Oreochromis niloticus: one gene and its partners. The protein of the gene in region 1 purifies or fractionates together with the protein of each later gene. This does not show direct contact. Links are inferred from orthologs where the notes say so. Each region holds a gene or a part of one and is shown in the gene's direction. Other genes may lie near its edges.

Evidence for each region.
Region 2: the proteins of mcmbp (region 1) and mcm8 purify together in Homo sapiens (co-immunoprecipitation; 3 studies listed by BioGRID and IntAct, with this or other methods). This does not show direct contact. The link is inferred for Oreochromis niloticus from reciprocal best matches to the Homo sapiens genes MCMBP and MCM8.
Region 3: the proteins of mcmbp (region 1) and mcm3 purify together in Homo sapiens (affinity purification with mass spectrometry; 10 studies listed by BioGRID and IntAct, counting the BioPlex papers as one, with this or other methods). This does not show direct contact. The link is inferred for Oreochromis niloticus from reciprocal best matches to the Homo sapiens genes MCMBP and MCM3.

Annotation. Positions count from the first base shown.
Region 1 is NC_031978.2:25,388,348-25,399,222, reverse strand, and holds the start of mcmbp (mini-chromosome maintenance complex-binding protein), read left to right. Parts: upstream 1-5,863; 5' UTR 5,864-6,001; coding exon 6,002-6,059; intron 6,060-7,682; coding exon 7,683-7,774; intron 7,775-7,853; coding exon 7,854-7,994; intron 7,995-8,105; coding exon 8,106-8,147; intron 8,148-8,228; coding exon 8,229-8,318; intron 8,319-8,434; coding exon 8,435-8,573; intron 8,574-8,949; coding exon 8,950-9,095; intron 9,096-9,223; coding exon 9,224-9,321; intron 9,322-9,397; coding exon 9,398-9,573; intron 9,574-10,875. Other genes in the region: sec23ip (SEC23-interacting protein), read right to left, coding at 48-233, 659-761, 884-1,039, 1,119-1,310, 1,396-1,491, 1,664-1,834, 1,982-2,079, 2,161-2,369 and 8 more. UniProt on the Homo sapiens protein: Associated component of the MCM complex that acts as a regulator of DNA replication.
Region 2 is NC_031978.2:5,992,629-6,003,103, reverse strand, and holds the start of mcm8 (DNA helicase MCM8), read left to right. Parts: upstream 1-5,452; 5' UTR 5,453-5,517; exon of another isoform or gene 5,518-5,706; intron 5,707-6,199; 5' UTR 6,200-6,206; coding exon 6,207-6,498; intron 6,499-6,694; coding exon 6,695-6,760; intron 6,761-6,883; coding exon 6,884-6,966; intron 6,967-7,173; coding exon 7,174-7,323; intron 7,324-7,477; coding exon 7,478-7,575; intron 7,576-7,671; coding exon 7,672-7,870; intron 7,871-8,009; coding exon 8,010-8,095; intron 8,096-8,823; coding exon 8,824-8,969; intron 8,970-9,180; coding exon 9,181-9,261; intron 9,262-9,346; coding exon 9,347-9,485; intron 9,486-9,795; coding exon 9,796-9,826; intron 9,827-10,475. UniProt on the Homo sapiens protein: Component of the MCM8-MCM9 complex, a complex involved in the repair of double-stranded DNA breaks (DBSs) and DNA interstrand cross-links (ICLs) by homologous recombination (HR).
Region 3 is NC_031980.2:534,583-545,295, forward strand, and holds the start of mcm3 (DNA replication licensing factor MCM3), read left to right. Parts: upstream 1-5,843; 5' UTR 5,844-6,002; coding exon 6,003-6,077; intron 6,078-6,320; coding exon 6,321-6,433; intron 6,434-7,363; coding exon 7,364-7,572; intron 7,573-7,675; coding exon 7,676-7,806; intron 7,807-7,895; coding exon 7,896-8,134; intron 8,135-8,220; coding exon 8,221-8,329; intron 8,330-8,417; coding exon 8,418-8,571; intron 8,572-9,315; coding exon 9,316-9,447; intron 9,448-9,754; coding exon 9,755-9,963; intron 9,964-10,052; coding exon 10,053-10,227; intron 10,228-10,307; coding exon 10,308-10,434; intron 10,435-10,516; coding exon 10,517-10,667; intron 10,668-10,713. Other genes in the region: paqr8 (membrane progestin receptor beta), read right to left, coding at 774-1,838. UniProt on the Homo sapiens protein: Acts as a component of the MCM2-7 complex (MCM complex) which is the replicative helicase essential for 'once per cell cycle' DNA replication initiation and elongation in eukaryotic cells.

The DNA of each region.
Region 1 (10,875 bases):
AGTACAGAAAATAGTCAAACGAAGACTCACAACTGAGCCGCACTCACCCTCGTGCACTTGTTGCTTTTCTTCCTCTTCGATCTGATTGGCCACGATGGCCAGCTGGGCCTGAAGTTGGGCGTTCGAGGTGTGAGCACGAGCAAAGTCATTGAGGGTCTGCCAGGCAGTCCTCAAGGAGCTGATGAAGCCCTGCTTCAGGTCAGAGCCCATCCTGGAGAGAGACTCCTTTAGCTCTGAAACACACAGAATCACGCCTAAACCCATTTCCACCAAACCAATGAAACCTACATAAACTAAAAAAAAAAAAAAAAAAGCAACCACCACGAGAAACTTAATTTTGCCGTCACCTTAATGTTTTTCTGCACAGCCAAGGAAAAAACGAATCAGTTTTATTTGCCACTACGTTGCTTCATAGCAATTGAAGTGCAAGAACAGAGTCTTTGTGCTGTTAACCGCAGATATTGGGGCGCTCCACCCTTAAGTGGCAGAGAGGCCAAAAATACTGAACAGTTTAGTTTAGGTTCAGTAATTAACTCTGTATCTGTAACTGTCAGGATTCACAGTTAAAAACTGTTTTTTTTTGTTGCTTTTGCTTGAAACTTAATCTCATATGTGACTAAAACAATGACAGCTCTGCTCTGAGTGTTTGGGTCCATACCAAGATGAAGCCTCTTCCGTCCTTTGTGATGTGGGATCAAAACAGGCTTCAAGTCCAGGTCTGGCATTATCATGGGCTCAATCCTGTAAGCCACTGGGTCCAGCTGAAAGACATTATTAAAATTAGAGTCTAAACCATTAGCCTAGTGAATGAAATGCCCGTGCACACCAGAATAACGTACAAATCTGACCCAGAAACAATAAAACATGTTACACAAACACATACTGGATGATAAATATTGAAGAATCCCTTGCATGTGGGCAGCTGGTATGCCTCTTCGATCTTCTCAAGTCCTCGTACAGTCAGGAACATGCCGATTGGAGAACCCAAGGCAAAGAAATTCACAGGCTCAAAGTCCAGAGTGTGGTAGATGACAGACACCTGCAGAGGATTGATTAAATGTCAGCCAGCTCTGCTTCAGAATAGCAGCTCATTGTTGCTGACAGACAGATGTGTTTACCTGCCCCGTTCCAACTTCAAAGTAATTGTAGTCCACATGGACAGAGGAGACGGTGCTGCCCACTGGAAGCTTCTTCACAGTAGGATGAGAGGGAACTTCAGCTGCTGATGTTGCAGCTGCTGGTGGAGGTGCTGCAGTCTGAGTGACCTCTTTGACCTCTTTTTTGTTCTCCTGAGCTGCCTGACGTGCAGCCTGTGAACATGAAACCATGAGGGGGGTGGGGTCATAATCACAATAACTTTTGCAAGCCTCGCAGATACTCAGCAGACAAACTTACCTGCTTATTCACTCTTTCTTTGACAAATTTGGCAATTTTTTTCCTGGGACCAAGTGGGATACCCATCTCCTTCAGGTCCTCAATCGTGCACATAAGCTAAGAGAATATAAAAGGGTCAGAATAAGATGAATTACATTATATCGCATAAAACCCCAGATGTTCTCAAATGACCTTATACAGTTTACATTTATAACTAGATTTCTTATACTTTTAAAACACATCTTGACTCACAGCAGTCTGTAAAATAAAAGGTGGACTGTGTTCTTACAAAAGATTCAATGTCAATCTTCTCCTCATCAAAGGTACTCTTGTATTCAGACAGGCCCAGATGTTCCAGCATAGCAGCAAGATCCTCAAACTCCTCCCCATCCTCTCTGGGCTGCTCCTCCACAGCTGGAGGCGTGACGGCACTATTTTCCTGTGCAACGGGGGCCGTCACCTGATATGAGGATAAAAAATTTACAATTACATACTGAACTTTTATTCTGAAAATATTCATCTCATTTACAAATAAACGGAAAAGAGCACGGTGTTCGTTTTATTTTTACAGTATATTGTAATTTATTTAAATTAGCCAGGGCGTGACCTGTTTGACCTCTCCGTTAGCAGCAGGCATGGTTGGCATGGCCCCTCCGGGTGAGGCATTCTTCTGATTTGAAAGCAGATCAAAGAGAATCAAAGAACCTGCAAGAAGAAACATGCAGAAAAATTAAGTAATGGTGGAAAAAACAGAAAGGTTAGAAGCTGATTAAACATGTTTATTACCTAAGCTGTGTCCTGCCACTGACACTGCACCTCTGAAGTCCGGGTTCCTCTCCATGAACAGGGCATAGAGTCGGTTAATCTCTTGAGCAACAGTGTCCATGATGGTCTGGCAGTAAGTGGGACTGTTGTAGAAAAGCACATCTAACAAGGTCTCATTGGTAAAGTGACGTAAACGCCCGGTGCTGGGCAAAGTGATCTTCTTTATCCTCCTGCAAAGACAAACAAGAAATAAGTCTGTTAAGGTCCTGCAAGGATGTCTGGTGAACTGAGCCACCAATTATCTCCAGTACATAATGACAGTATCTGATAAATGTTCTGTTTACCCATCTCTGAGTAATGATGAAGGATTTCCAGGTGATAAACAATGTCAATTTAAAATAAGAGAGTAGCTCCAGTGTTTTCATCCAGACAGGAGCTATTTATAATATCACCACATGTGTGTCAGGCCTCTTTGGTGTTAAACATTTGTCCCCCTCACCTGTCCACCCCTGTGGCATCTCCATGTAAAGCCGTGTGCCACTGCACAGGCAAAAACTCCACTCTGCTGATAGCGTGCTCATCCAGGGATTTCTTAAAATGGCTCTGCAGCAGCTTCAGCGACACATTACGGAAGTCGTCCACTGAAAGCACGACAAAACAGCATTTTTAACGTTTCCTTCGCACACATCGTTACACGGCTGCAGTGTGACTGCTCATTACTTCATTACTCACCACACTCAATCATGCTCCGAAATCTCAAGTCACACACGGGGCCAATTCCATGAACCATGAACACAAGATGATCCACCGTTGAGAGCTCACCTGGAAAGAGGTGCGCACGGTCACTTGTCTCTAATCTTAAATATGTGCATAAAATGTGAACTGCAGTCAGAATGAGGCTGCATTATACTTCACTTAGCACCTAACCAGCTATCAAAAAAACTGATTATGATCCTTCTAATGCCTCTGGAATACCTTATCATACTTTCCATTTCCTAAAATTACACTTAGTGGATGATACAAACTGTGTTTACACTTAGAGCAAATTATTTTGAGCACAGCGGAACTTGTCTACCATCAGGCACTTCATCGTGGTCATCATCGATCCCTCTCTTCACCACTCTGGGTCTGGTCTGCCCGTCCTGAGTTGTGCCCCACTCATCTGGTACGCAGGAGGGCTGAAATTGCACTATGACCTACAAAGGCAAACAGATCAATGCTCATGAACTATAAAGCCAATTACATCATCAGACCGCTACAGCACAATAATCAAACAAGGGTTTACCTTTGGATTGTGCATCACAATAGTTTCCCCTGAGGGGAACTCCAGCCTGCGGTGCCACTGGTTGGTAGACACAGCTTTCTTATATTCAGCCTAGAGATGATGCAATAATACAATATTATAATTTCCTTTTACAACAGTGCAGCCTAAACTAAACCAATAAAGAACAATGCAGAGGGTTTTAAAAAAACAGTATTTTTGAGACAAACCTCGAGCTTATCGCTGAACTCCTCAGAGTAAGGAATAAAGCGACTATCTGTATCTCCTTTGTAGAACCAGGTGCAGCGTCGGACCTCTGTAGGTTCCTCCTCCCAGTACACTGCAGTCCGTATGCGGTCATAAAGCTGCACGTCATACCTCCCTCCGTCCGTGCGTACGATCACACTTTCTGGATCTGGTTGAACTGAAAGAATGAAAAAAAAAAAACAAAAACAAAAAAAACTTCACTGTGCAGCTCAGGTCAAGATGAGATTCTCAGGACCCCAAAGACAAATTTGCAATTTGTCTTGTCGTACCAGAGTTGTACGTCTCCTCAAGCTGAAGGGAGTCAAAGATACTGAAAGGAAGCCAGACGCTTTTTGACTCCACCTGCTTGCAGTAGAACCAGTGAGGCTGAACTGGCTCATAGACGTTGTAGTTGTACGGCATCATGGGAACAGCAGGAACGACGGCTCCAGTTGTGGTGGCTGGAAGTGGAGGTGGAGGGCCCTGAATCTGTGTGGGAGGAGGCTGAAGAGAGAAAGATGTGATTTAACTACCCAAATAAGTTAATAAACCCAGTGATCAACAACACCGGTGTGATACACTTACCTTTGTATACATGGGTCCTGATGGGGGGAACGTTTGCGGTGGTGAGCTGACCAAGTAGGGATTCTGCTGAGGCGTGTGCGTTGGTGGCAGGATTTCCGGAGCTGGGATATAAGGACTAGCTCTGCTGCTGGTGGGGGTGTGTCTGTACGGGTTGTGGCTCTGCGGCTGCATCTGGGGAGGCGGTGGGGTCATTGTGGTAGGGGGAGGAGTGTGACGCCCCATGGGGCTCTGGTAAACTGCACTACCAAACATCGGAGGAGTAGGGTTAATTTGTGAGCTGGCAGGTGGGGGTTGTGGTGGAACCATGCTGATACTGCTGGGAACAGAAACGTGTCCTGTTGTGGTCGGGGCTGCAGACAGCACTGTCGGGGGGCATGGAGACTGGCCTATGGATGCAAATGGGTCAGTACTGGTTATGGGACTGGAGAAGTAGCTGAACGTAGATGGGGGATGTCCATTCCCAGACGTCTGACCTACAAAGCTGTCTTCTTCTCCAACATCAGTGGAGTCATCTACTGCACACCGACATGGAGAATAAGGGTGTAACACATGTTTTAGTATCTATGCAAAAACATCTGACACACATTAAATCACAGAGCTAGAGAATATATACTCAGAGCTGTAGCTTTCTACCGATTAGTCCTTAAAATATAAAAAGAGGAAACATCTTTATCAGGCGCTTGATCAGCAGAATGTCGCATCATTAAATTCCTGTAACAGGACGTTGTCTTGCCATTTAACTCAGAGCACTGTTTTGGCTGTGACCCTGAAACATACGTGCAAAATAAAACATCACACAGCTGCAAGTTTGACCACAACACATCGCTGTCAGTTAGGCTAACCTTACGCCTAAAAACCGCTTCGCTACTCGGACAAGGTTTCTTTCTCTTTCTGTTACTTTTACACTCAGTAAGCCCCGTAAGCGATACGGGAACCCAATTTGCTAACTAGCTTAGCTTGCTAACGAACCCACAAATGTTTGGACATTTCCTCAGTCGGCATCTCGTCTCACCTCCTGACAGCACCGCCGGACCAGTGGCCTGACTCACTGGCATGAAAGGCAAATTGAAGTTAAACTCCGGAGCGGCGCTGAATAGTAAATTTGCACTGGTGTTTGGAGCATTATTATTTTTTCTATCTGCCATTTTCCCCGAGAATTACACGTAGCCACTACCGGAGCAGGCAGACAGGACACGCTCAGTTCTCCAATGAGCGTTTTTGTTTTTTTCACTGGGCTCGCAGATTTTGCTGAGCTATAAAGCATCAACCGGAGATTGCACGACTACAAGCAGCGTAGCACATATTATTCAGATCTACTAAAATCACGCAGGCAATTTCGCCACAGTTCTTTTGTTGACGCTACAACAAACACTCTCGCTCACCACTGCCACCTATAGACCAGGATGATTACTTACACTGTAATATTTTAATCTTTTAAATAAAAAACAACAACAAACTGTATCTTTAAAAAATAGAAGTAGCTCTATATTAAAGACTATTTCTTTTTTTTCTTCACTAGAACAGGAATTTAAAGTCAAACGAAAAACACCCAGCCTATCCTGAAGAAGAGTTATGACGAGTAACACCTCCGTGCTCCGGTTGGTCCCCGTACCCAAAACAAACCCACTACGCTCTGCGTCTTGTGACGCAAATTTCCCGCCCTTCACTTCAGCGATCCCGTGTATGGGGAAAGTCAACAAACTGGTGTTTTCACTGTGATTTTACTTTGATATATTTTCTAATCTCCGGACCTTTATCACCATCTAAGCCATGCCTTCCACACATGACTGGATTAACGACCCCTTTGGTGTTGTTGAGGGGATGTTTGGTAAGACACCGGAACTTCACTCTGTAGGGCTAACGCGTGAACCTAGCTAGTTAGCTCTCTGACTACGTACCATGCCAACTTTGCACATTGCAGGTGGCTGTGTGTGGTTTCTTTTTTCTTTCTCTTCGAAAAAGCAAATGACTTCTTACACTTTTTTGTGTAGTAACTGTACACACGCCAGCGCCACACATCAAGACCGAGACGGATTTTAAAGAATATACAGAAAAATCCACATATTCCTTAAAATTTTAAAGGACTGACATTTACGTGTCACTGGTGGGGCGGTTATATTTAAGATTAATAAAAGTTGCTTATATCTTTTAGACATGTTGCATCATGTATTTCTGGTAAATCTTTTATCTATTTTTTCCTTCTACACCCCTACATTATAACAGGTTTTCTCTTTACCCTGTCTCACTTCTTTGCTCTTCATATTACATTTATACACTCACTAGTCATATCATTAGGTACATCTGTTGAACTCTTCAGTAAGACATATATCTAATCTCTCTAATATATGCAGTTCCATGGCAACAACAAGTGCATTTAACCACGCAGACATGGGCAAGACGACCGAGCATGAGAATTGGATGAACGGTTTTAAGTGACTTTGAATGTGGTATAGTTGTTGGTGCCAGACAAGCTGCTTTGAGTATTTCAAAAACTGCTGATATACTGAGAGTTTCCCATACAACCATCTCTAGGGCTTACAGAAAAATGGTCAGAAGAAGAGAAAATATCCAGTGAGGACCAGTTGTCTGGTGGAAATGCCTTGATGATGTCTGAGATCAGAGGAGAATGGTTTGTCTGCTTTGAGCTGATAGGAACGCAACAAAGTAACTCGAATGACTACTTGTTACAACTAGGATTTGCAGAAGAGCATCTGTAAATGTACAACATGTCAAACCGTGAGGCAGATGTGCTACAGCAGCAGAACGCTTCTTCTGTCAGCTAGAAGATTGGGTCAGCCTGAGTCTTGATTTCTGCTGCAGAATTTGGATGGTAGGATCACAATTTGGCATAAACAACATGAAAGCATGGCTACGTCCTGCCTTGTATCACCAATTTCAGGTTGCTGGTGGTGTAATGATGTGTGAGGGATATCTTATTTTCACACTTTAGGCCCCTTAGTACCAGCTGAGCATCATTTAAAAACCACAGCCAGACTGAGTGTTGTTGCCCACGGTGTACATCAGCCTGTGGTGGAACAGGAGATTCACATCATGACTGACAAATCTGCAGCAACTGTGTGATGCTGTCACGTCAATATTGACCAAGATCTCCAAGGAATCTTTCCAGCACTTTGAATCAGTGCCATAAAAAATTAAGACCGTTTTGAACGCAAAAGGTTAAACAAGTGGGAGGAGCACCTTTGATCTTTGCGAGGACGTACTTTGAAAATGCCTGGTGTGGGGACGGGGGCTGTTATAAGGGGTTGGGGGATTGGTCTGTGGTGATTGCTCACACCAGAGGGCGCTTTCCATAGTGAGACACTGAGCGAGGCTTGAAAGGGAACATTTTTATCTAATGCAGCCCAGCTAAGCTAATTTTGCGCTACAACAACCATTTATCCAACTTTGAGTTTTGATTTGCCAATAACATTAGGCCTTCTTGATATTTCAGCTGCTTCCCAGAGTGATCCAAACTCTGGCTGGGAGGCGAGAGCCGTGGAGTTCTTCAAAGATCGGCTGAAAGAGAAGGACGCTCACACCTTGGTAATACAAATTACACTTTAAACAAAAACATGTGCACGAAAGTCAGGCTCCTAATCTGTTTCTGCACACTTTGATGCAGGTCCCATCTCTCAACGACATCCCCATGCATTACCTGAAGCCCAACAGCCTCGTGAAATTTCGCTGTTTCATCCAAGACATGTTTGATCCAGAGTTCTACATGGGAGTCTATGAGACTGTCGATCCAGCCACACAGGCTAAAGTACGCACTTCTTTATCCTCTCGTCTGCTGTTATTGGTATGAGTACAGCCCTTTGATAAGCTCTTAGCTGTTTTCATCTTTCATCCTCTTTTTCTGTCTATTCTTTCACAGACGTTGCGATGTGGGAAGTATAAAGACGTGACAGAATGCGGGGTGAGTCTCTTCAAACACTCATTCGCTATAGATGGCTCATTTTAGCTCCAACTTGGTTGTTAACGAGTGTTTTATCTGCAGGTGGATTTTAACTCTAAAAACACCGTGACTGCAGAACGACAGACTTTCTACTGTGTGCCAATCCCTGGAGAAAACCCCTGGGTCAAAGAGATATCCTCAGCTTGCAAAAGACCACACAGAATCGCTCTTTACGCAGCTGGCATTCGTGAAATGTGCATTTTTATCTTGCGATCTGCTGCTCCGAGTTGTCCTTAACTCTGTTGCACAGGTATGCCAACAGCAGCCAAGCAAGAGTGGTGCCTTCCACCTCGTACGTGCCAAGCAGACAGAAACGAAGCTACGAGGAAGACGACGACATGGACGACATGGACACGCAGCCACAGAAGCAGAGGGAAGCGCACGCTGGTACGAGTGTTCAGAGCGTTAGCATAAGGCCCAACTTATAGCTGCTCTTGATCAGTTACATCATTTAATTGTGTCATTACTGTCATTTTTGAAACGCTTTGATAACTTTGTGGATCCGTCCTTGCCTTGTGAGCATCGTCTAGACTCCTTTTTTCCTCGCATTATTGTGCAAATAGAAATAACTTGTGCTTTATAAAAGAAAATAGCATGTTTAGAAATGCTATGTTGAAAATCCTTTGCTCTATTTAAAAAGCACTTGGGGAGAATTTTGACAACGACTTTAAATTTCCTAGGGGGTAATAAATTTGTCCTCATCTGTAGATCTCGTGGTCAAGGACGAACTTTATCAGCATGGCTTTATTTTTCCTCGCTGCAGGTCCTCAGAGTCCCACAGAACATCACGGCAACGGCGACTGTAAGCGGCAGGAGACAGAAGCTCCTTCCAGCCAGACGACATCTGCCTCCCACCTCGACCTCAACTTCCCCCTGCCGGGAGAGAAAGGCCCTTCCTGCCTAGTCAAGGTGTGCTGTGTCAGTTTATTCCTCTTCCTGTACTGAAGCGTTTTGAACAAAGAGGTGATTTTAGAGACTATATAGCTATCATGAGGAGAGTTTTAGGACACATGCTATAATGTGGGTATCATTGGCAGGTCTACAAGGACTGGGACAGCTTCAAACTGAACGACATGCTTGAGGTCTACGGGATCCTCTCCGTCAGTCCCGCTCTCAGCGCCTTAGCCGACGAGAAGTAAGACACATACTTTGATTTTCCTCCCTGCCCTGATCCGCTCAGTTTGTTTCTCATTGTTGACGTTTCCGTACAGAGACGCCTCTTCAAGCCTGGTGGATCCCACTGAGTGCATGGAGACGGCGGAGGAGCAGAGGGTGCATTGCCCGCCAGCCTCGCTCGTTCCACGCCTCCACATGCTCTACGCCAAGCAGCTGCAGCACAACAACCCCCTGCTGCCCTCTGCCGCCACCTCGGAGGACAACAGTGCTTGTAAGGACAAACAGTAGAGTAGCAGGCCTCCAAGTTTCTTCATTCTTTTTCCTCGTGTATGTTACATGCCAATCATAAGCCAGTAAGCATCCAGGGAAATATTTCATAATCCTGCTACAAAAATAAGTATCGCAGCAGGGTTGTTTTTTTTTTTTTCACAGATGTAAATGAGATAGCTGAATGTAATCTCATTTGCATAGCATTCTGCTAAATAAGCCTGAGTACTGGGGTTGTCTAGATTTCACTTGACAACTTGAAGAAGAGACACTTTTGGCACGTTTGACTTCATTCCCCTGGAGAGATGAATTCAAACTGTATGAAAAAAAACATTAATTAAATAACCCGATGCTTCCAGCACTGCAGACAGATCAGTTATTAATGATGAATCAATGTGGGCGACACATTTAAACTGCTTTGACTACATAAATATTATTTGCGGTGACTGTGCGCCATCTTAACGATACACAGTCCCTCCTTCAGCCGTCCTCGGTGCTGGAGGAAGCATGAGAATCCTTAATTTCTGTGCACTTTTAGCACTGTTGCCTCACAGCAAAAAGAGCCTGGGTTCAAATCTAACACTCAGGATATTCTCCGTGTAGCTCGGTGGGTTCTTTCCGGTACTCCTGCTTTCTCCCGCAGTCCAAAGACGGGCTACTTAGTTTAACTGGCGATTCTAAATTGGTGTGAGGAGTGGATGTGAAAGGTGGTCTCTGTGGTCTCTGTGTGTTAGCCCTAAAACAGTGCCGACCTGTCCAGGGTGACCCCTGTCTTCCTCGGTGACTGCTGGGACAACCTCTAGCCCCATCTGAATTGGATAAGCATAACGTGATAACATAGTCGGTGTTTTGCTTTGCTCAGAGATTCTTTTGGCTAAAACGAAATCACTCTCTACCAGAATGATCACGGGTAGTCTGGAAATCGTGTTTTTAAATAAATAGGTTAAAAATGAACTTATAAGCTCCTTTCAGATATGCAGTCCTCTCTGATCCTCGTGTTCTCCATAACATCTGTAATCTAAAAATCTGAACCTGACGTGCAGCTCCTTAGAAGTGAAATTACACTTGAATAACAATCATCACCTCGGTATAAGACAAAATAATCCTAGTATTATGATGACTTACAAATGTCAGCAAGCTCCTGGAGGGTGTTTGCTGAAAGTACTGGAATGGACGCAAGGCAGTTTTTTAGATTTCATCGCTCTGCAAAGATTCTTGCAGAAGGCCTCACCAGGTTAGACTCGAGCCCAACAGGCTGATATTATTGGCTGATATTAATATTGACATTAATAACGACTGATAGTAG
Region 2 (10,475 bases), about 19 Mb from region 1:
AGGGGGTTGATGTTCAGGAATTGGGCTTGGCTCCTTAGTTCCAGTGAAAAAAACTCTTAATGCTCAAAACTCAACCTGATAGAACACTTTGGGCTGAATTAGAACAGAGACTGCAAACCAGGATCTCTTGTCCAACATTAGTTTTTGACCTCCAAAATTCCCCAAAACACACCTAAACCTTGTGGAAAAGAGTTGATTCTGTACCTGTAAAAGGTCATGGCTAAAGACGGAAGAAAATAAGGTCACTATATGTGCAAGTATTTGCTGTGAGTCATAGGCTCAGACTTCAGACAGTGTTCTCAGGCTCAGGTTTTCATGCTCTTTGATATATCAATAAGAGTGGATATCCTTCATAACACAAACACAAAAGTCCCATCAAACTGCTGTTCAAATCTTTTGTTTATGAGTGACATCACAAAGGCCAATTAACATGCATACACTTTACTGACAGGGTCATGTAGACATTCAGAAAAAAAAAGTCGATGTGATTTACAGAGTAAAATTGTGGATGTGCAATACATTAAGAAAATAATAAAGATATTGTCAAACAAAAACATCCTACTCTAATCTTTGTTTTTGCACAGTGTATGTGCTGCTCTCCCTCACTGTTGGTTAAACGTATTCAAATGTTTAATGCGTTGCTCACAGATTTTGAGTACTTTTCCTCTGCAGGCTTCCACAACTCCTGCCAGTTCAAAGAAAGTTGCCTTTTACAAAGGTGGACCTTAAAGAGCTGGAAGCTAATGCTGTCAAGCAGGGGCTAAACTGAAGGGCTGCAGAGCTGGTATAGTACGACATGAATAAGGATGGTTTTTTTAATCTTTTAATAATTTAATTTAAAGCCAAATTGAAGTCCTGATAAGCATAAAACTGTCTGCTGTTTCAATGAAATCTCTAACATCTCAGAAGAATTTATGCCATGCATGCCAGAGTTTGCAGGGTTTTTCCTTCATAACTGCTCTGCTCAGCTAACTGCTAAGCTATATGCAAGTACTGAGAAATATCTCACAGGAACAATAATGTTCTGTTTTTCACTGCAACACATCCTCATTTTAGAGCTAAAAGTTTAAAAACAAACTTTTCTTGGCTTTCACTATTTAAACAATACTACTGTTGTTTCACTAAAACCGTTACTTTTTTCTCAGTGTTAAACTATGTGCAACTGTGTTTTCTGTGAAACCTCCAACCATTTCTCCCAGTGAGCTTCCACACCCAGTACTTTCTGCAAAATAGGGAGAATGATGGTTTGACAACCCAATTTTTCTTTGCAGCAAAAAGGTGATGGCCACCTGCCTGTACTCATTGAGTCATGCTGGTCTCCTGGAGCCACGATTGATCAGTCTGTAATACAGTCCTCAAGGGGAGCCATATTGCACCCACTGAACCTGGGATATTATACTTAGGAGAGTTTTCTCACCATAAAGTATGACTTATCACCAAACATCAAAACGAGTGAAAGTCTTTTCTACTGTGAAAAAAAGCAGCAAAAACTAAAATTATATCATCTAAACGTTTATAAGCAGCTAATATCAAGTGTCTTGTAAAGAAGACAAAGAAAAATTCATATGTGATCCAAAAAGACAAAGCATCCAATGTTACCAAAGCATACATTTAATGTGTATTTCGATCTTTGCACCTTTTTATTTGTTTTTCTCCACTAGCTTGTGGCCACCAGAGATTATGGTGCTTGTAAACCTGAACACTTTAGTGCTGATCTATTGCTGATCTGATGGCTGCAGACGCAGCAAACAAGACATTTGGAACATAACAAAATTGTATATCTGATATAAATCATTGCCCTATATGTCAATGGGGACATTGTATTGAGGGAAAAAATAAATTATGGTTACTCTGTGGGTTAGCACTGTGGCAAACTCAAACTCCAGGTGAGAAACTGATTGAATCATCGAGAGGAAGAGTCTGCAAATGGCTGAGCATAGAAGCAGAGCATCCAAATAGGGGATTGCTGCTGTGAAAATAACTCAGTTTGACTTTATGCCATCTTGTCCCGTCCCTAACACATCCATAAGTAATGAAATCTTTCTCTCCTGACACCCAGACTCATTTTAAACATAGGCTGTAGATATTGTTGTCATGTCACAACCCAGCGGCGGTGACTCATCGCCTACTTAACTCTCGAGTCTGGCTGAAAAACAAACTTTGCTGAAAAATGATTTCACCTTGTTTGCCAAATAGCCGTGAATTCGCATTGATTTGCTGTTGATTGATCAAGTAGAGATTAAATACCTTGCCGAGAGGAGCAGTCCGCACATTCATCTCTCTGCGGCGACTGCTGGTGCTTCAGCTCTCTCCCGGCACTTCAGTTTCTACATCTCTCTCCACAAAAGACCTGTTATCATCACAAAGGCACACACACGGAGGAAAAAGCCTTATTTCATTTATCAGTGCCATGAGGATAATGATAGGAGAGAATTAGAGGACATATCTCCCCCTCTGTCTTTATTTCTTTGTCTGCTGCCCTGACAAGAGTTGTTTCTGACCTTAGCAACAACCTGCAGCAACCTGTTTCACAATCTGTCTCCCTTTACTGTATGTGTGTGTGTTTGTGTGTGAGTGTGAGGTTGTGTGTGAGTGAGTGTGTGTCTCCATCCCTCTCAGCCCTCTGCTATTACCGCTAACTACTCCAGGCCACAGTACTTCAGGTATTGATTTTTCCCCTTGTTCATTCTGTCTTTCTATCCCCTTAAAACCACTCCCTTGAGATGGTGTGTGTGAGAGAGAGAGAGAAAGTGTGTGCTTTCAAACAGTTTTTGTTCTGTGGACCACTTTTAGTTTAAGAATGCACTTTCTGGTCACTTTCTAAACTACATTTTGCTTCTTGTTTTTGGCCAAGCATCTACCCCTCTTTTTGGCATGGATGTTTGGATGGATCTGCATTTTTCTAGTTCAGCTGTGAAATCTCACTAATCTTGAATAAATTTCCATTCACAGAGGTCCTCTCAGGTTTTGAAATGCAAATATGTGATTTTATGAAGGTACATGGAAAATCACACACATAAAAACATCTCTCTTTGGGTTAAATGGTACAATTATTCAAACCATCTGAGTTTGAATTTGCTGTGTCTGTGTGAAGACACACTTAAAGCAAACATGTTTATTTTACTTTTGGTAAAAAAAAAAATAAGTGTGCAAAAAGGCTTGAACCACTCTTCATTTCTTTATATTTTTCTAGGAAAATAAGAGATGGATTCAGATGTTTACTGAAATATACAGCTGTAATCATACATACAAATGCAGCATAAATGACAAAAACAAGCTTGGCAGTCAATATTTGATATGTCCACCTTTATTCTTTAACACATTTGACACAGCCTGAACTCCTTTAGGCAAAGCTCATTTAAGTGGCTTCAGGAATAGTTATCCAGACTTCGTGAAGGACACCACAAGGTTCTTTGGATGTTGGCTGATTTTTGTTGTGTTGTCAGTTGTCTAGATGATTCCACACTGTTTTAATAATGTTGGCCAATCCATGACTGAGTGTTTTATTGTGTGCTTTTCTGTCCAGGTATGCTTTTAGTGCATTGGCAGTGTGTTTGGGATCATTGTAATGTTGAAAAATGTGGCCCCTGGTAATCAGACACTTTCCAGGTGCCACTGCATTGCAGATCAAAATCCGATGGTACTTTTCCGAACCAAAACCATTTAAATCAAAACTGAACCAAAGACCTGTTGCTGCTGATTTGCAGTGCAGTTCTTGTGAAATCCAGTATACTCTCTGGGGATCTTGACCTTTGGCCGCGGGGGCTCTGCCTGGGGCATCCCTCCATGGTGTGTGCACACAGTTGTCATCGAGATGTGTGGCCTTGGGTCTTTAGTACTCTCTTGGGCTGCAGATGGCCTGAGTCCCCTGGGTCTTTCTCTATGCCTCTGGCTCCTGGAGGGCGTTGTTGCGCCTTCACACCCTCATTATCAAGTATTTCATCACAAACACAACACACACACACACACACACACACACACACAACACAACAAGACTGTTGGTTAGTGCATGTATTTCTTCACTTTTCAGGTGCTTTTCTTTGGATGTGTTTTCTTACAGGTGCAGCAGTTGGAGACCCATTGCATTTTCCCACTTGTGCTCTGTCCTCTTGCTATCATATTTTTACCTATTTTACCCCTTTTTCCTTGCTATTTTTCTTCAACTCTGGCATTGCCATATTACAAGTGCACTCATGTGAACAATAATAATAATAGAAATCAATAAATATAGAAAGAAAAGACAAGGCAAGCACAATAAGAGGAGCCTACAGAGAGTCTATGGAGCTCATCTTTGAAGAGCAAATGCTTAGCACAACGATGCATTCGAATCCTGATTCTGACTCTGCAAAATCTGCCAGTCCCGACCAATGACTGTACAGGTTACAAAAAGACTACAAAATGTACTGAAGTCTGAATAAAAGGTGATTCAAGACTTTTTTTTACTAATTTTATAATAACTCCCTAAAATACGTATACATGGATTGTTTGTACAATAATGTTAAATTGAACTTTAAATGAGTTACTATTTCATGTAATGACATAAAATGTCCAGAAGATGGAGGCAGAGGGCTTTGTTTTGTGTTATGTGGTAGGAGTGACTGATGGGTTGAAGGAGAGGGTGGGTTTACATCAAGGTCCTTATCTGCTCTCTTTTTTTTCATGGTGGTGATCGACAGGCTGAAAGTTGAGGTCAGGCAGGTCACTAGCGACTTTGTGATCTGTAATGAGAGTAGCGAGCAGGCTGAAGGGCCCTGGACAGGTGGAGATATGCTCAGGAGAGAAGGTGAATGAAAGCCAGTAGAAGCAACACAGAATAGATGTGTGTGAATGGTGAAAGGTAAAGCTACAAGTAGTAGAGACAATGAAGGTGGATGAGTTTAAAAACCTGGACTCAACCATCCAAAGCACCAGACAGCGCACCACAAGAGAGGTGAAGAAGAAGTGCAAGTGGAGTAGGTGGAGGTGAGTGTCAGGGGTCATTTGAGATAGAATGATAGCAGCACAAGAGAAAGGGAAAGCTTGCAAAATAGTAGTGAGAGCTGCTAAGATGTATGGCTTGGATACAGCAGCATTAACCAAAAAAACAGGAAGCTAAGCTGGAGGTATCAAATCCCCAAAGCTGAAGATGTTTACGTCTTCAGTGGAAATGACCTCTATGAACAAGATTAGAAATGAAAACTCTGGACATACACCTCTGATGTTGGAGTCAGTCTTCCAGTTTTGAGGTTACAAGTTCTAATGTTTCTATTTATACTGAAATCCGTTTGCACTTTACCTCGTACATCTGCTCGTTTTAACAGCTGGATAGTGTCGCGGTAAAATCAAACATCTTTGGAGAAACTGACAGGATTTGAATTCCTGCTCAGAGTATGCAGAGTATGGAGCCTGCAGGCGAATAAGAATTCTGTAGTAGTCTCGCTATCCTCTGGGGGGCAGTAAAGCGCCTTAAAGGCATATCTGCCAAAATAATATTAGAAGAAGAAGAAGAAGCTTCTTCGTGGAGGGAATTTTTGTTTGGTAATGTCAGTCTTCGTGAATTTTGTGACACCGAAACACACAGTTTTGGTTAATGGAGTAATATATTGTGCACTTTCTTAAACTGTGAGATTATTTTACTCATTCTGTTCAAGAAAAGGCAGACGGTGTGTTTATACCTGTTGTCACTTTTTGAACGGAACGTGTAGGAAAAAGTCGGTGATTGTAGTTGTAAGTTGGCTAATAAGGATAACGTTACGTTACATGAAACATTAGCCCGCAGCTTTGTAACCTGAAATGTGTAGTTAGACTTGTAGGGTTTTTAAAACTGAAGGGCAGTTAAGTTACCCAACAGTTTTTTTTAAATGTTAAAGTTGATCTTAAATCTGCAATGTTGACTATAACTTTGCACTTTTGCTGTAACAAAACAAATTTCCCACCTGTGGGACTAATAAAGGTCATCTTATCTTATCTTATCTTATCTTATGAAAAGTAGAGCCAATCAACACATATATCTATTTCAACATTTGCTGTAGTAAATATTTTCAGTTCAGCTCAATGCCTGTCGCTGTGCCTAGATAGCACTATTGGTCCTCCAGTAGTATCAGATAACTATTGTATCACTGCCTGCTGTGCTTGTGTGTTTATCTGGTAAAATACATGTAGCTGCTCAGTGTTTTGTTAATACTGTCACTTATTTTCGTTCCTCCTTTCATTGTCTTAGGAAAGTAATGAGTGGACAGGATTCCAGGAGAGGCTCTTCTAGAGGAGGCAGAGGAGGAGGAGGGAGTGGAAGTGGTGGCGGCGGCGGTGGATGGAGAGGAGGTGGTAGTGGAAGTGGTGGCGGCGGCGGTGGATGGAGAGGAGGAGGTAGTGGTGGTGGTGGTGGCGGATGGAGAGGACGAGGGAGTGGTGGTGGCTGGAGAGGAGGGGGTGGAGGATGGAGAGGTAGACCATGGAGAGGAGGATCAGGAGGAGGTTGGAGAGGTGGAGCAGGAAACCATACCTACAGAGCGCAGAGAGGTGAGTTTCTGACACAAACAGTGTACTTTGTAAGAAACCATTAGTAGAACTATATTTTTATTTTTCTGTTGGAAAAATACATGTTACATATTAGTGTTACTGCTATGTCTAAAAACACACAAAAAAAACACACATTTGTGGTTGTGTGGAATGAACAGCTGCAACAAAATAACCAACTGCTCAACTGTCTCTTCAGTCCTTTGTCAGACTACTCTTGATGCATTGTGTCCGTACAAAGGATGGACACTCTACTTCACAGATGGTATGTGTGCATTAATGGGTCCCCGTCACACTGTTACAATAAGTTTAGAAAGACGTCACATTTAATAGTCAGGATAATGCGTCTTTGTCTGTGCCTGTAATCACCATGTCTTTTAATGTCCAGGATTTATAGAGAGTGGACCTAATGTGGAGAAGATCAAAGTGTTTGAGAAATATTTCACTTTCAGGATTCATCTGTTTGACAAGGTTCGTCAGACGAACTCACTGCACAACACACTGGCTCTTTGAGTTATCATTTGTCCATTTGTCACAGTGGCACTACTTGGTGGCCAAGCTATCAGACCCTAATAAGAGACTTAGTATGGGTTTTTTTCCTTTAATTTCTCATCCATCTGTATTATTTTCTTTGTCTGTTTCCATGTCACTTAAAGTGACCTTTGTTTTTGTGTACAGGATGAAATTGAGCGTCAGGGAAGTGTCCTGGTTGATTATGCTGACTTGATTGCAGACAAAACTGTGCGTCACGCACTTCCTGACATAGTCACACAACTGAAACAACAACCAGAGGTGATGCTGAACTGTTTGGGATTGGCTATTCACCAGGTACGCACACAAAAGACCCTACCACACATTTTATGCTAGCGGCATGTTACAATCTTAATGATACATGTTCATATTATAACAAATGCCCAAATTCTAAGTCTCTGTAATTCTAAAAACCCAAACCCTGACTGAAAACTCTCTGCACATCATTCAGGTCTTGACTCTGGATTTGCAGAAGCAAGCTGCTGAGCTGCAAGAGGAAGAGTTTCCTGTTGCTACACCAGTCATCAATATTCCCCATATTAGTGCGAGGTATTTCATTCGGTGAAGAATAATGAGTTGTTTTCCTGACAGCCACTTTGAATGACAATGAATAAGGATGACTGCATTTGTGTGAATCACCCGCAGGCTCTATAACTATGAGCCACTGACTCCACTGCGGATGTTACGTGCCAGTGTGTTTGGCCGGCTAGTTTGTGTGAAGGGAACAGTGGTGAGAGTGAGCAGTATTAGACCGCTATGCACCAGGTTGGCCTTCAGGTGTCGGACCTGCTCGACCACACTGTCTCTGGCTCTGCAGCATGGGAAATACACTACACCTACCAAAGTATGTACACGCACACTTACACGCTAACTTTTTTCTGCAACATTCTTCCTGTACTTAAAGGCTGTAAGTTATAATGTATACATGCATATGGCTTTCCTGTCAGCATTCACACATCTCTTGTTTGTGTTTTATAACCTAGTGCGGAAAGCCTGACTGTCGCAGTCATACCTTCATCCCCATCCGCAATTCTCCTCTTACACAGACTGTAGACTGGCAGATCATCAAGTGAGTATATCATGTACAGTGAAAAACTACAGTAAGACATAGCTAACAAAAATGGTTGTTGCAGTTGTTATTTGAGAGCGGGAAAGGATGCCATGTACTGATATCTAAATGTACATGTAAAAATACATGAAAGCTCCTCCGAAGAAAAGCCTTTCTGTTGCATGTATTTTTGAGGTATATACAGCATGTCCGTAAACTACTCTGTTGCCGGTCCATATTATAATCACCCTAACCCAGGGGTCCCCAATCTCAGTCCACGAGGGCCGGTGTCCCTGCAGGTTTTAGATGTGTCCTTGATCCATCACAGCTGATTTAAATGGATAAATTACCTTCTCAACATGTCTTGAAGTTCTCCAGAGGACTGGTTATTAGCTAATCATGTGATTCAGGTGTGTTGACCCAGGGTGAGATCTAAAACCTGCCTTAACCCCATGTCAATTACATTTAATTTTAAGTTGATTCATGAAGAATCTTTGTATGCAAGTTATCATTCATTTATATTAAGGGATTTTACTTTTTGTTTTTTTGCTTGTATTATTTAGTGTGTACCTTTTACTGTGCATCTGTGTGTAGGTTTTATGTGTCACTCTGGACTTGTTCTTTGCACATTGTGCTTTATCAGCAGTTCACAGATATGAAGTATTGTCTTTAAAGGTCACATCTCATGCAAATAACCTTTGTCATGAATCCCTGATCAATTTAATTTGAGTTATTTTGTGCCACTTCAGGGTGCAGGAGTTGATAAGTGGAGAGCAGAGGGAGACTGGACGAATCCCACGGACAGTGGAGTGTCACCTGACCTCTGACCTCTGTGACAGCTGTGTGCCTGGAGACACTGTTACTGTGACAGGGATAGTGAGAGTTAGCAATGATGGTACAAAAACACACATTCTGATCATTGTGAAAAGTTAAGCCAAAGAAATGCCGGTGCAGTCTCCAATTCGAAATATGTAGTGAAATATTAAAAATGTCTCAACTAAATCAAGCATTTATTCAACAAAAACTCTAAGCCTTTGAAGTTGGAGTTTGCTGGAAGAAGTGCCCTCCTACGTAGACATCAAACATAGTTTGACTGTGTTTTTTAGGTCCAGGCACTTATAGAGGAAATAAGGATCAGTGTATGTTCCTCCTCTACATTGAAGCTACTTCTGTCAGCAATACAAAAGGTATTCTCTTTGAGATCTTCACATTTATATTAATAGGCTTTAGTCTTAACTATTTAATGAACTGGAACTTTCTCTAAATATGTAGGCAAGCAGTCCAAGATGGGAGGTCAAGGTTCAAGCGGGACAGTTGAAGATCGCTGTGGTGGGGAAGAGTTCAGTCTGAAGGAACTGTATGCTATTCAGGAGATCCAGTCACAGCCTGACTTGCTGCGACTTATAGTGCAGTAAGATGATTACCCACTGCATTTAATGCAGCTACCCAGTTTCATGTAGTATTGTTTTAAGAGTTATCACAGTGTCTATGTATTTAATTTTTGTCCAAACAATGGAGTTTGAATGGTATGGTGATGAGTCAATTTTAACAATTTAATCTCAAGTTATCTATGAAGTTAGCTTGATTATTTATTTTATTTTTGTCAGGATTTAGAAATATAAAATTCTTCAGTCATCCAAAAATGTACTTTTTGATGATGATGGCATGCTACTACTGCAAATCAACATGTTTTGACTAATTGCGTCCACTTGTTTTTACAGCTCTTTGTGTCCTGTCATCTACGGCCATCTGGTGAGTTCCGCAAGACTGAGTACACTAACAAGCTTTTCATTAGAAATTACTACTTCTTTCCCGTCAGGGCTCAAATCAGCGGATCGTCTAACTCCATCTCACCCTATCACTAATATCATCCTCTGTCATCCCATCTGTTTGTCCTCCTTCGCTATATTCATGAACTTTCTCCATGAATCTTCCTCCTTTGCTCCTGCCTGGTAGCTCCATATTCAGTATCCATCCAGTGTATCTACGGTCTCTTCCCTGTCCAAACCATTTCAACCTCCCAATCACTCCCAATGAAAATCCGCACCCTTTTGGCTCTGCCTTGCTTTGTCATGCTCTTCAAACCATATACATTATACTTAAAAGTAGTTTTCACTACCAACTAGTAAACCTTGCCTTTCACTCTTGAGCTATCCTTCTGTCACAAATCAGCCCTGACACCCGACTCCACCCACTCCACCCTGCCTGCACTCTCTTCTTTGCCTCTCTTGTACTCTGTCCATTGCTTCGGATGGTTGACCCGAGGCATTTAAACTCATCTGCTTTAACTACCTCTACTCTTTGCAGCTTCACTGCTGCTAATGAGGTCTTACTTGCAATGCTAAAGTTTAGTCTAAAATCTTGTGGCTCTTGTAATTCTTGTGTCTTTTTGTCTCTGCAG
Region 3 (10,713 bases), on another chromosome or scaffold:
ATTAAACTGGAGTAGAAGAGCCTCACAAAATGTTGAACTATTCCTTTAAAAGGAGCCTGACTCTGGCTCCCATTCTGGGCCGTCTCGTAAACTCTCACAGGGGGAAACTTTCTTCACATAATAGATACAAAAGGTGTGGCCGCAGCCTTAAAGTGCTCGACATACAGTCGGCCTAGCGGAACAAAGAATGGCCGAAACCTCAGATACAATAACCTGGTTTCCTCAATGGGAACGAACAGGGTCGACAAGATATAGTGTTTACCTTCCATTATAGTGCCTATAAACACACGTCACTCACAGCCCGTTCCACACAACCTCCAAAGTTTATCATGTTTCTGGTCTCTCACGTGAATTTCAGACGAGGACAAAAGCGCATCGAGTTGATCTTCTCTGGACGTGATCTACAGTATAAATGTTTGTTGTTCTCGATACGTTTCCAACAGCATCCAGAGACTATTTTAGGTTATCGTGCTACTGGATTACTCTGAGCCTCTGTGATCAGTATCATGGGAGGGTGACTCACTGTGGAAAACTTTACTCAGCTGTAGTTAGCAAATTATGGCAACTATTTCTTTCATGAATCAGCAGTTAAACCTTCAGATATACCAGACCGGAAGAAGTTTGAGAGTATTTTATTGTTCAAGTATTTCAGTGATAAGATACATTTTTTTATTTTTATAGACAAAAGTAAATATATGGATTTTTAAACACATGACTTGGTTTTAATATTAAAATTATGATGATTTGCTCTTTGATTTTTCTTTGTTGCGCTCTCACTCGTCTTTACTCTGCAGTGCCTTGCTCATGTGCTTCACTGCGATCAGCGCCGTCAGGATGCAGCACACTAACAGGACGGGGAAGGATACGCACGCCCACCACAACTGCCACTCCCCAAATAACTCCACCACTGTATCCCTCCGCTGGGCGTAGTCCTGGAACAAAGCCTCCAGCTGGGACAAGGTGCACAGGGACAGAAGCATGTGGAAGATTTGGTGACCCTGGCCTGCAAAGTCACAGTGGCCTGGAAAGAAGCGCTCCGGGATGGGGCAAGAGAAGAAGACTGCAGACAAGAGGAAGCAGGCGATCTGGAGAGCGTGGAAGGGCAGCGAGGGCTCCTGTGACCAGGAGACAGTGAGCAGGCGGTGGGCTATGGGGCTGATATCCAGCACGTACGCTAAGCCGGTGGGGATCAGCTGGCAGACTTTACGCTGAGGCGGATATGGCCGCCTGTACCTAAACTTGGCATAACAGCAACCGGTGCAGGAGAGCCACCCAAAGAAGGCGGCGCCAGGCAGAAACATCACCCCGACGCGTTCTCGCCACGCTGGCTCAGACGCGTAGAAATAGTGGCCGAGCGAACACCCGTACTGATACACGGCCACACCCACGTAGTCCAAGAAGAAGAAGAAGTAGTGTGCGCGTTCAGAGTGAGATTGCAGGAGATGAGCCGCCACACTGAGGTACAGATATGTGAGAGATGACACCAAGAACAGGAGCAGAGGTAGCGAGGCCGTATCCAAGGTGTACCCCAGGGTGTCTACATTGGCCCACCAGCGGAGCAGCAGGACAGGACCGGCCAGCAAGTGGGTCCACACGTTCAGGGACTCATTATGTTTCTGGAAGAGGCTGAGAAGATAGCAGCGCCAGTCTTGCTGGACAGGACGGTATCCTGACAGGATGTAGGGTTCCCGGAACAGGCTGGGTACGTGGGAGGCAGTGACGGTGGGGCTGGGTGATGGTAAAGAGAAAGGGAGGAAGTCTGAGAGGTGAGGGAGACGACGCAGGTGCTTGGTGCTCAGTGTTATGGTGCTGAGCCGCTGCAAAACCTCAGTCGACATCTTGACGATGAAGAACCAGAGGACAGAGCACCCTGTGGGAGAGATTAGATTAATGCAGGCCTTAAAGCAGAGGACTCGACACGTTAAATTACACCTCACAGGAGCACGCGGTGTGCTTTGATGTCACATTCTGAATTTTTAGATGCACGAATCTGCGCTGTGGATCAGTGGCAGGAGGGTGGGGATAAATCTAAGATACAAAACAAAATATAAGATAAGACTTTATTGATCCCACGACGGGGACATTTTTGTGTTGAGGGGATCAAAAATCTCACAAAACCAGCCAAAAACATGCCAACAGAGACTGGGCTGGAAAACCCTGAAACCAAGCCGCTGCAGTCCACAGTGTTTCCACTGTTGGTCCAGGCTTGGACTCCTGTGACATTCCAATTAAGAGCTTTCAGTCGCCAAAAGAAAAACAGCCAACAGGAGACCTTTAATTATGTAAGCCAGACATTCTTCTCTTTTTGTGTCATGTGCACCGGAAAAGCAGCTATGCAGTCAAACCTGTAACCATCACCCACCTGTGGTGAAGCTGCATTCTGGATGGGAGCAGGATCTCCTCCTAAAAGGGTGCGCCCCTCTCTGCTGGTGACATAACAGCTAAAATCTTCCTCTTTTCCCCTTGACCATGAACACCGGCACCCATTTAGAGCTTCCGAAGGGCCTTTTGACCTGAGCCGCTTTATGTTAGGAGCCCATTCAAGTTTGTCCAAGGTAACCCCGGCCGCACGTGCGCTTTTTTACGCATTAAAAAAAGAGGGGTAACACGTTGGTTTCCCGTCTTTTATTTCAACATTAAAACGGAGAAGCTCCATGAGCCACACAGAAAAAATAGACCGCGTTTCTTCCATCATACATATATTTATATGACGACAGAAAAAAGAAACATACCTGCACCACAGGACACCCGTTGCCCGTCTGGACTCACGCGTCACTGCAAGAAGGTGGAATAAAAGGTGTGCAGCAGCGCTTCTTCTCATACAAACACAGGTGGGGAACTACCACATGCTGGTTTAACAAGATGTTTCCAACACTGCAGGGCGGAGGGAAAAGGCTTCAAACTACTAACCTGAGAGGCCGGAGAAATGGAGGGGTGGGCGGGGTCAAAGTGACCAGAAACGCCCTCAAATGCAGTCACCAACGCTTTGAGGGCTGTGACTGTTACTCTCCGGAGCTCAGTGTGTCCGCAGTGTTTGCATTCACCTTCTCATTAGAAGACCAGTTTATCGGCACACTTATTAAAACACGTGCGTAGCTTGTTGTTATTATTTTTTATCTGGATTGTTTTTGTTTGTAATCATTAATTATTATTAAGTTGATAACAACTGTTTAAGCGACTGAAGGCACATCGTGGCCAAAGCCTTGTAATGGTGACACGATAGAGGTCAAAGTTAACGTATACATGCACGTATGTGTCTCCATCTACTGTTCTGCACTGCACACTGCACTAAGACGGTTTCCCTTTGGTGTGCACTCAGAGGTAATGAGAATGTGACAGTATCCTGGTAACCTGAGGTGATCACATGTCCCACTATATGTGGCCAACATATTTAACCAAAATCAGGTCTCATTTGCTGTTATTAGTTGACCTTATTATTTCATTTGTTCTGATTCATCCATCAGGACATATGAGATTTCTATTTAGATTTATTTAAGTGCCATGTTTCCCACCTTTGTAATGTCTATGATGGTTTATCCCTCACACCCAAACTCTAACCAGTGAGTGTAACAAGACCATAAGACCACTTATACATATATTATTGTATTTACTTGGTGAGGGAGTTGCACTCACATTAACTCTTTGTCCTACATGTGATCATGCTGAGTCGGTTATAGCAACATTTTCCACACCTGTGCCTCGGAGCACAGGTGTGAAGTTCCAGGGATTACAGTCAGTGCTGTGAAAAAGTATTTGCTCCATTCCTGATTTCTTCGTGTTTGCATTTTTGTCACATGTTTGAGATCATCAAACTAACATAGATGGCCAAAAACAGAATGCAGTTTATAAATGATAATTTCATTTATTAAGGAAAAACAAAATGCTATCCAAACCTGCCCTATATGAAACAGTAATCGCCCCACGTCAAGCCATCACCTAAAGAAAGTCATTAACACGCAAAGGTTAAAAAGTATTTTCTAAGGCTAAATCTAACTGGAGAAAACTATAAACAGTGGTGAACCAGCCTACCAAAGTTGCTCCAAGAGCATCAACGACTCATCCAGGAGGTCACAAAAGAACCAAAAAAAATATCTAAAGAGCTGCAGGCCTGACTCACCTCAATTTAGGTCAGAGGTCATTCAACAGCAAGAAAGAGACCGGGCAAAAACAGCATCCGTGGAAATGAAGTATTTCAGTGTTATTGCTAACTTCTCCTAAGCTAATGTTGTGTTCAGCCTTTACAAAACAGATGAGACGTGCATGATTCCTAAACTCGTCCCCAAACACAGAAGCGTGTGGTGTATTTTCAGTGTGCAGAAAGTTTGAACATGAGCAGAAGCCCTCCTGAGACAAGTGACACGTCAACATTTGGTAACTTCCCCAGACAAAAGACACAAAACAGCCCGATGTGAGATGGAATTATAAACTCACTGAAAACCAAGCAATCAAAAAATAGGACAGAACAGGGAATCACGCCCACGTTTACACTGGAGGGATAATATTAAATGAAAAAGATGAAGAATTCTGCAGAAATGACGTGCGAGATGCTCAGAATTCGTTGTGTCATCCTCGTGCCCCACAAACATGTTTTTGGTTTCTGACCACACTTTGGTAATTTGACAACATATTAAGCAAAAGCACTAAAATGATTCCTGCAAAATTTCACCCTTAAGAAACAGTGAATGATTTTGGTGAGGAAATGATGATCACAGGAGAATAATTACAATAGCATGATCCAAATTTAGGATAATCTTTTGGGAACCTATTAGTCAGTGCATGATGCCAGTAATGGGCATTCGGATTAAAAAAAGAAAAAAGTAATTATTCTGATTATAATGCTGATGAGATATTCCTGATTGCATAGTGGACCAAATATAGCAGGTGAAATGAAATTTAAAGGCTTTAGATGGATATTGATGCTGATGAAAGACATAAAACAGTCTGTGATGATAGATAAAACATGTTATTCATGCCTGAAATGCAAAGCAGTGCAGATTAGAAGGTATTTGTAAAAACTAGCAGGCAAAACAACTGGTAAAGACATTAACCTTCCACAGTGAGGGGGACATGACATGTTTTTCCACTTACAGTGGGGAAAACGATTAGTTACACTGTGAATGGAAGTGGAATCCAAATAGACTCTTGTCCGTGACAGTCTTTATATTTTATGTTTGAGGACTATAGCGTAGAGTCATTACACACAGAATCAGTCAAATCTGAGAAAAGGTCCCGTATGACCTCCTCAAACTGAGCTGATGTTTTTCTTCAATAAATTTATTGGAGCTAATGAATTTTTCCAAAATGTAAACTCCAGATCATGAAAACCATCAAGTTCCTTGAAGTCTATAATGTTTGGTCAAAGCACAGGAGATGTCCACATAAAAATAAAAAAATAAAATACTGAAAATCACAGTATGTATGCAAGTTATTATTGTTCATTTTCGGTCCTATTTTATATGAAAACTTTTAATTAAATGCAGATTGTCTGAAAGAATGCTTAATGTTTATCAGTGGAAGAGTGAAATGTAACTTTAATTTGAAAGAACACATGCATGCTCCATTTGTCTTTCTTCTTATTAAAAGTCTTGCTATGTTTATATATTTGACACCAACTGCTTTATTTTTTAAAGCTTCAAATAAATGTCCCACTAAAAAAATGTAGGCATGTGTTTATGTCGCCATCTGCTGGGCAATCATGAAAAATCCCTTTTGTTCATTTTTAGCAGCCAGCCCCTTCCTGATGGGTTTTCGCGGGAGTTTTTCAGGGGGGACGGAGTCACGTGGTAACACGAGGCCCGTATTGGACAGTTGTACGTTTACCCGCCGACTATGTAAAGCGGTGCGTGCCGAATTGACCAATCGAGTGTCACGCTGAGCTCGCGGCTGGTACGTAGTGGCGCGAAAACCCTTCAGTTGTGCGGCTTGACTGAAGCGGAGCAGTCGGAGCGGAAGGCTGTGCGGCATTTTACCGACTTTTCAGTAACAATAACGAAGCGCGCATAATGGCAACCGACGTGGCAGATGACCGGGAGATGAGGGAGGCTCAGAGGGACTACCTGGACTTTCTGGACGACGACGTAAGTCTGTTTTTATTAAATTCGCCTAAAGTCTTTGTCTGGAGCTGAGATGACAAAACATGCGGTCACAACAAAAGAGCTGTAATTTGGTATAGTACAGAAAAAAAAATGCTGCTGTCAGATTGCAGATATTAGGTATAAAAAGTCTGTTTTCAAAGTTGATGTTTTTCAGTCATACTCGTAATTTTAGTCGGTAAGCGACGTCATCAAACGTGTGCCCGTTTCTTCTGTGCATACCTGCAGCAAGACCAGGGCATCTATCAGAGCAAAGTCCGGGACATGATCAGCGAGAATAAGGCTCGGCTCATCGTCAACATCAACGACCTGAGGAGACGCAACGAGGCCCGAGCTGCAAAGTAAGACAGGAAAACTGGCTGATGGCGCACACGAAGTTGTGCTGGGCCCCACACGCAGGACTGCTTCACCCCCCAATGCTTGGCTTATTGCTTGAGATACACAAACGGGTACTGGTCCGATACAGAGAGCAGTGTTACTGAGTTATTACCACGAAAAGGTTTGAAATGTCCAAAATGACGTCATAGTTGATGGCAGTTGGCCTCCCTACAACATTGTGATTATGTTATGTTGAATGGTTCCATTAATCTTTACTGTTTTTAAAAAAATGAATATTTAGATGGAAAAACATGCTGAGTTTTTCTCTTCGTGCTGAGGCTTACTTAGAAACTCAACAGGTTTCAAAATAGTATATCCACAGACTGTATTTAAAGATGGCTGTAGCCATCAGCTGGGCTCAGACTGAGCCTTTGAGCTTCACTTACCTTTTTTGAAACTTGTTATAAGGAGCAAAGGCTGAATCTGGCTGGAAAAACTGAGGGATGCTCAGACTGGTGACCTCTTAAACACATCCAGGTTAATTCGGGCTTTGAATGGGACCATGATTTACAAAATGATCATGATTTTGTGCTCAGTATAACTTGAAACAAGCAGCAGGGAAGTGTATACTGAAGCCAAAGTGCTGTTTGCCATACAGTTCAATACTAAGACTTTTTTTCTGAGACCTGAAGGATCACTGCCCCCTACTGGCCAGCAGAAAGAATACAGGTTTAACGCAGCTTTACTTTATGTCCAAAACCAGACTTGATTCATACACATTCTTCTTCCTGTTGTCAAACCTTTGAGCTTGATTCCTGTTTCCATACTGAGTAAATAAAAAAAAAAAAAAAGAAAAAAGGGGGGGGGGTTCGGTTTTAGTGAGTACAGGATGTCATAGCCCTTGAAAACACGCTGAAAGCCTTGATAATAAAATCCATGGTTTGTCTTTGCAGACTGATGAACAATGCATTTGAAGAGCTGCTGGCCTTCCAGCGGGCCCTGAAGGACCTGGTGGCCTCTGTTGACGGCACCTACGCCAAGCAGTACGAGGAGTTCTTCATCGGCCTGGAGGGGAGCTTTGGATCTAAGCATGTCTCTCCTCGAACGCTCACCTCCCGACTGCTGGGCAGCATGGTTTGTGTGGAGGGCATCATTACAAAGTGTGAGTTTATTGGCTTTATTTATTCGTGTAATCTTTAAGTTTTACAAAGTCTGTATGAAAGTATGTGAAATGTTAATGCCTCCTGTTTGCTTCGTCCCTGTAGGTTCCCTCGTCCGTCCCAAAGTAGTGCGCAGCGTTCACTACTGTCCAGCCACTAAGAAGACGATGGAGAGGAAGTACACGGACCTGACCTCCCTGGATGCCTTCCCCTCCAGTGCCATTTACCCCACCAAGGTAAATGTGCCTCATTCTCTGTAGACTTGGGGGTGACCGCTGTCTTTATACTTATGTATTTATCTTGTTTCCTGTTTGACTTGACATAGGACGAAGAGAACAATCCTCTGGAGACAGAGTTTGGGCTGTCCATCTACAAGGACCACCAAACCATCACAGTGCAGGAGATGCCTGAGAAAGCTCCCGCTGGCCAGCTTCCGCGCTCTGTGGACATCATTTTGGACAACGACCTGGTGGATGCAGTCAAACCAGGAGACCGGGTGCAGGTGGTTGGGACGTACCGCTGTCTGCCTGGCAAGAAGGGAGGATTCACCTCTGGCACGTTCAGGTCAGCTGGAATAACTTGGGCTTAATGGGTTTACCTCACTTGCCTACCATTTGTCTTCTAACCCGTCCCTTCTCCTTTCATCAAAGGACCATCATGATCGCCTGCCACATCAAACAAATGAGCAAGGAGGTGTCTCCGTGCTTCACTGCTGACGACGTGGCCAAAATCAGGAACTTCAGTCGGACTCGTTCCAAAGTGAGTCATCTTGGCTGCCTTCTCACACGTGGAGGAGTCATCCTAACTAAATGTGAAACCAAACCCTTTAAATCTTCGTCCTTTGTAGGATGTCTTCGATCAGCTCGCACGTTCCTTGGCTCCCAGTATCCACGGCCACGAGTACATCAAGAAGGCCATCCTCTGCATGCTGCTGGGAGGCGTGGAGAAGGTCCTCGAGAACGGCTCGCGAATCAGAGGAGACATCAACATCCTGCTCATCGGTATGAGGACATCGTCCTAGCTCTTATTTATACGGCACCTATGAAACCAGTTTGTTCAAAACACAACGGCCAATGTGGCCGATACAAGTAGAGTTCAAATGAATGAAACGGCAAAGGAAAGTCTTATCTCCTCAGGCCAAAGGCCAAAGGCGAGTCCTGAGGCACAAGCAAGCTCGACTCTACATTTAATTTCTCCCTTTGGAACAGGGAGAAGGGCCCCATGTTTAGGAACCACAGCTGCACACTGGCTGGAGCTTTCTGGCCAAAGCCAGATGTACTTTAAAAAGCAGTGGGAAGAGGAAAAAACCCACATTGGATTGGGGCAATGGTAAACCCTGCAAGAAGCTACACTCTGAAGTAGCTGTTGGAGTTGTAGCACTCAAGTGTGGAAGTGTGAGAGCGTTGGTTTAATTCAGGACTCTCTTCAAATTTTTATGGTGACTCAAATTGTTCTAAATTTCTGGCTACAAGCTTTACATTCATGGACAAAAGGCAGAGGGAAACCTGACCAATGCAGTTGGTAGAACTGAACAATAAAATGTGTTTGTGCCATAAATCAGTATCTGTGAGAGACACCAGTGAAAAGGGACCTAGACTTGTTCCTTGTGGTACACCACAGGGAATGGCTACCTGTACGACTGTGCTGACTGAAGAGACAAAGACAAACTCAAGGACTCACACGTGGACATGATGGTAGTTCAGTTCTGATTGGGGTGGGGGTAATGGTGTGTTGGTGTTTCCCAGGTGACCCATCGGTGGCCAAATCCCAGCTCCTGCGTTACGTTCTCCACACAGCACCCCGAGCTATACCTACGACTGGACGCGGTTCATCTGGTGTGGGTCTGACCGCTGCCGTCACCACGGATCAGGAGACGGGTAACTAATGTCCCCCAATCTTGTTTGACCTAAACAAGTAAAGGACCTCTGTAAGTGCAGCCAGCACAGCTACATTACAGCGAGCCTCCACCATGTCAGGTCTTACTGTAGTCAGAAAATGTTTTACATCTTTGCTTTGTGTTGCCTGTTGTAGTGACGATGGATGTGGCACATGAGCAATGTGCTGTTAGCTACACTGTTTGTCCCTGTTAGCATGAGCTAACATGAGCTAACGTGTTAAACACGTGGAAACACCTGCTGTAAGTGCATTTCTCCCTGCTCAATACCAACATTTGTCCTCCGCCAGGCGAGCGGCGTCTAGAGGCTGGGGCCATGGTGCTGGCGGACCGCGGCGTGGTGTGCATCGACGAGTTCGACAAGATGTCCGACATGGACCGCACAGCCATCCACGAGGTGATGGAGCAGGGCCGTGTAACAATCGCCAAGGCCGGTATCCACGCCCGTCTCAATGCCCGCTGCTCTGTACTGGCTGCTGCCAACCCCGTCTACGGCCGAGTGCGTGACCACACCCACATCTGTCTCTGCCTGCTAGTTAATTTTGGACAAGACCTTTAACGAAAACTCTGCTCTTCCCTTTTTTGCAGTACGATCAGTATAAAACCCCCATGGAGAACATCGGCCTCCAGGATTCGCTGCTGTCGCGTTTTGACCTCCTCTTCATCATGCTGGATCAGATGGACCCTGAGCAGGATCGTGAGATCTCGGACCACGTGCTCAGGATGCACCGCTACCGTGACCCCCGCGAACAGGAAGGAGCCGGTACTTCATTCGTACTAGGACCGCGAGATGAGACCGTTTTTGTCCGATTATTAAAACAACAAACATGTTGTGTGTTTCAGCCATGGCTTTGGGCGGGACCGTAGACGTCCTGGCGACAGAAGATCCAGATGCTGCAGTCGAGGAGCACGAGGAGCTGCAGATCTATGAGAAGCACAACAACCTGCTGCACGGAAGCAAGAGGAAGAGGTCTGAGAGCAAAAACGTGCCTTTGACTCCTGTGTTAATAACATGCCACTGCAACAGAATAGAAACGTTTGTTTTGTTTCAGGGATAAAATTGTGAGTAAGGAGTTCATGAGGAAGTACATCCACATCGCCAAGGCTGTGACTCCTGTGCTCACAGAGGAGGCGGCCAATCACATCGCAGAGGAGTACTCGAGGCTGAGGAGTCAGGAACAGCTGGGGGCCGATCTGGCCAGGGTGAGCGCGAGCCGACAAATCTTATGTGTACATAACCGGGTATAAG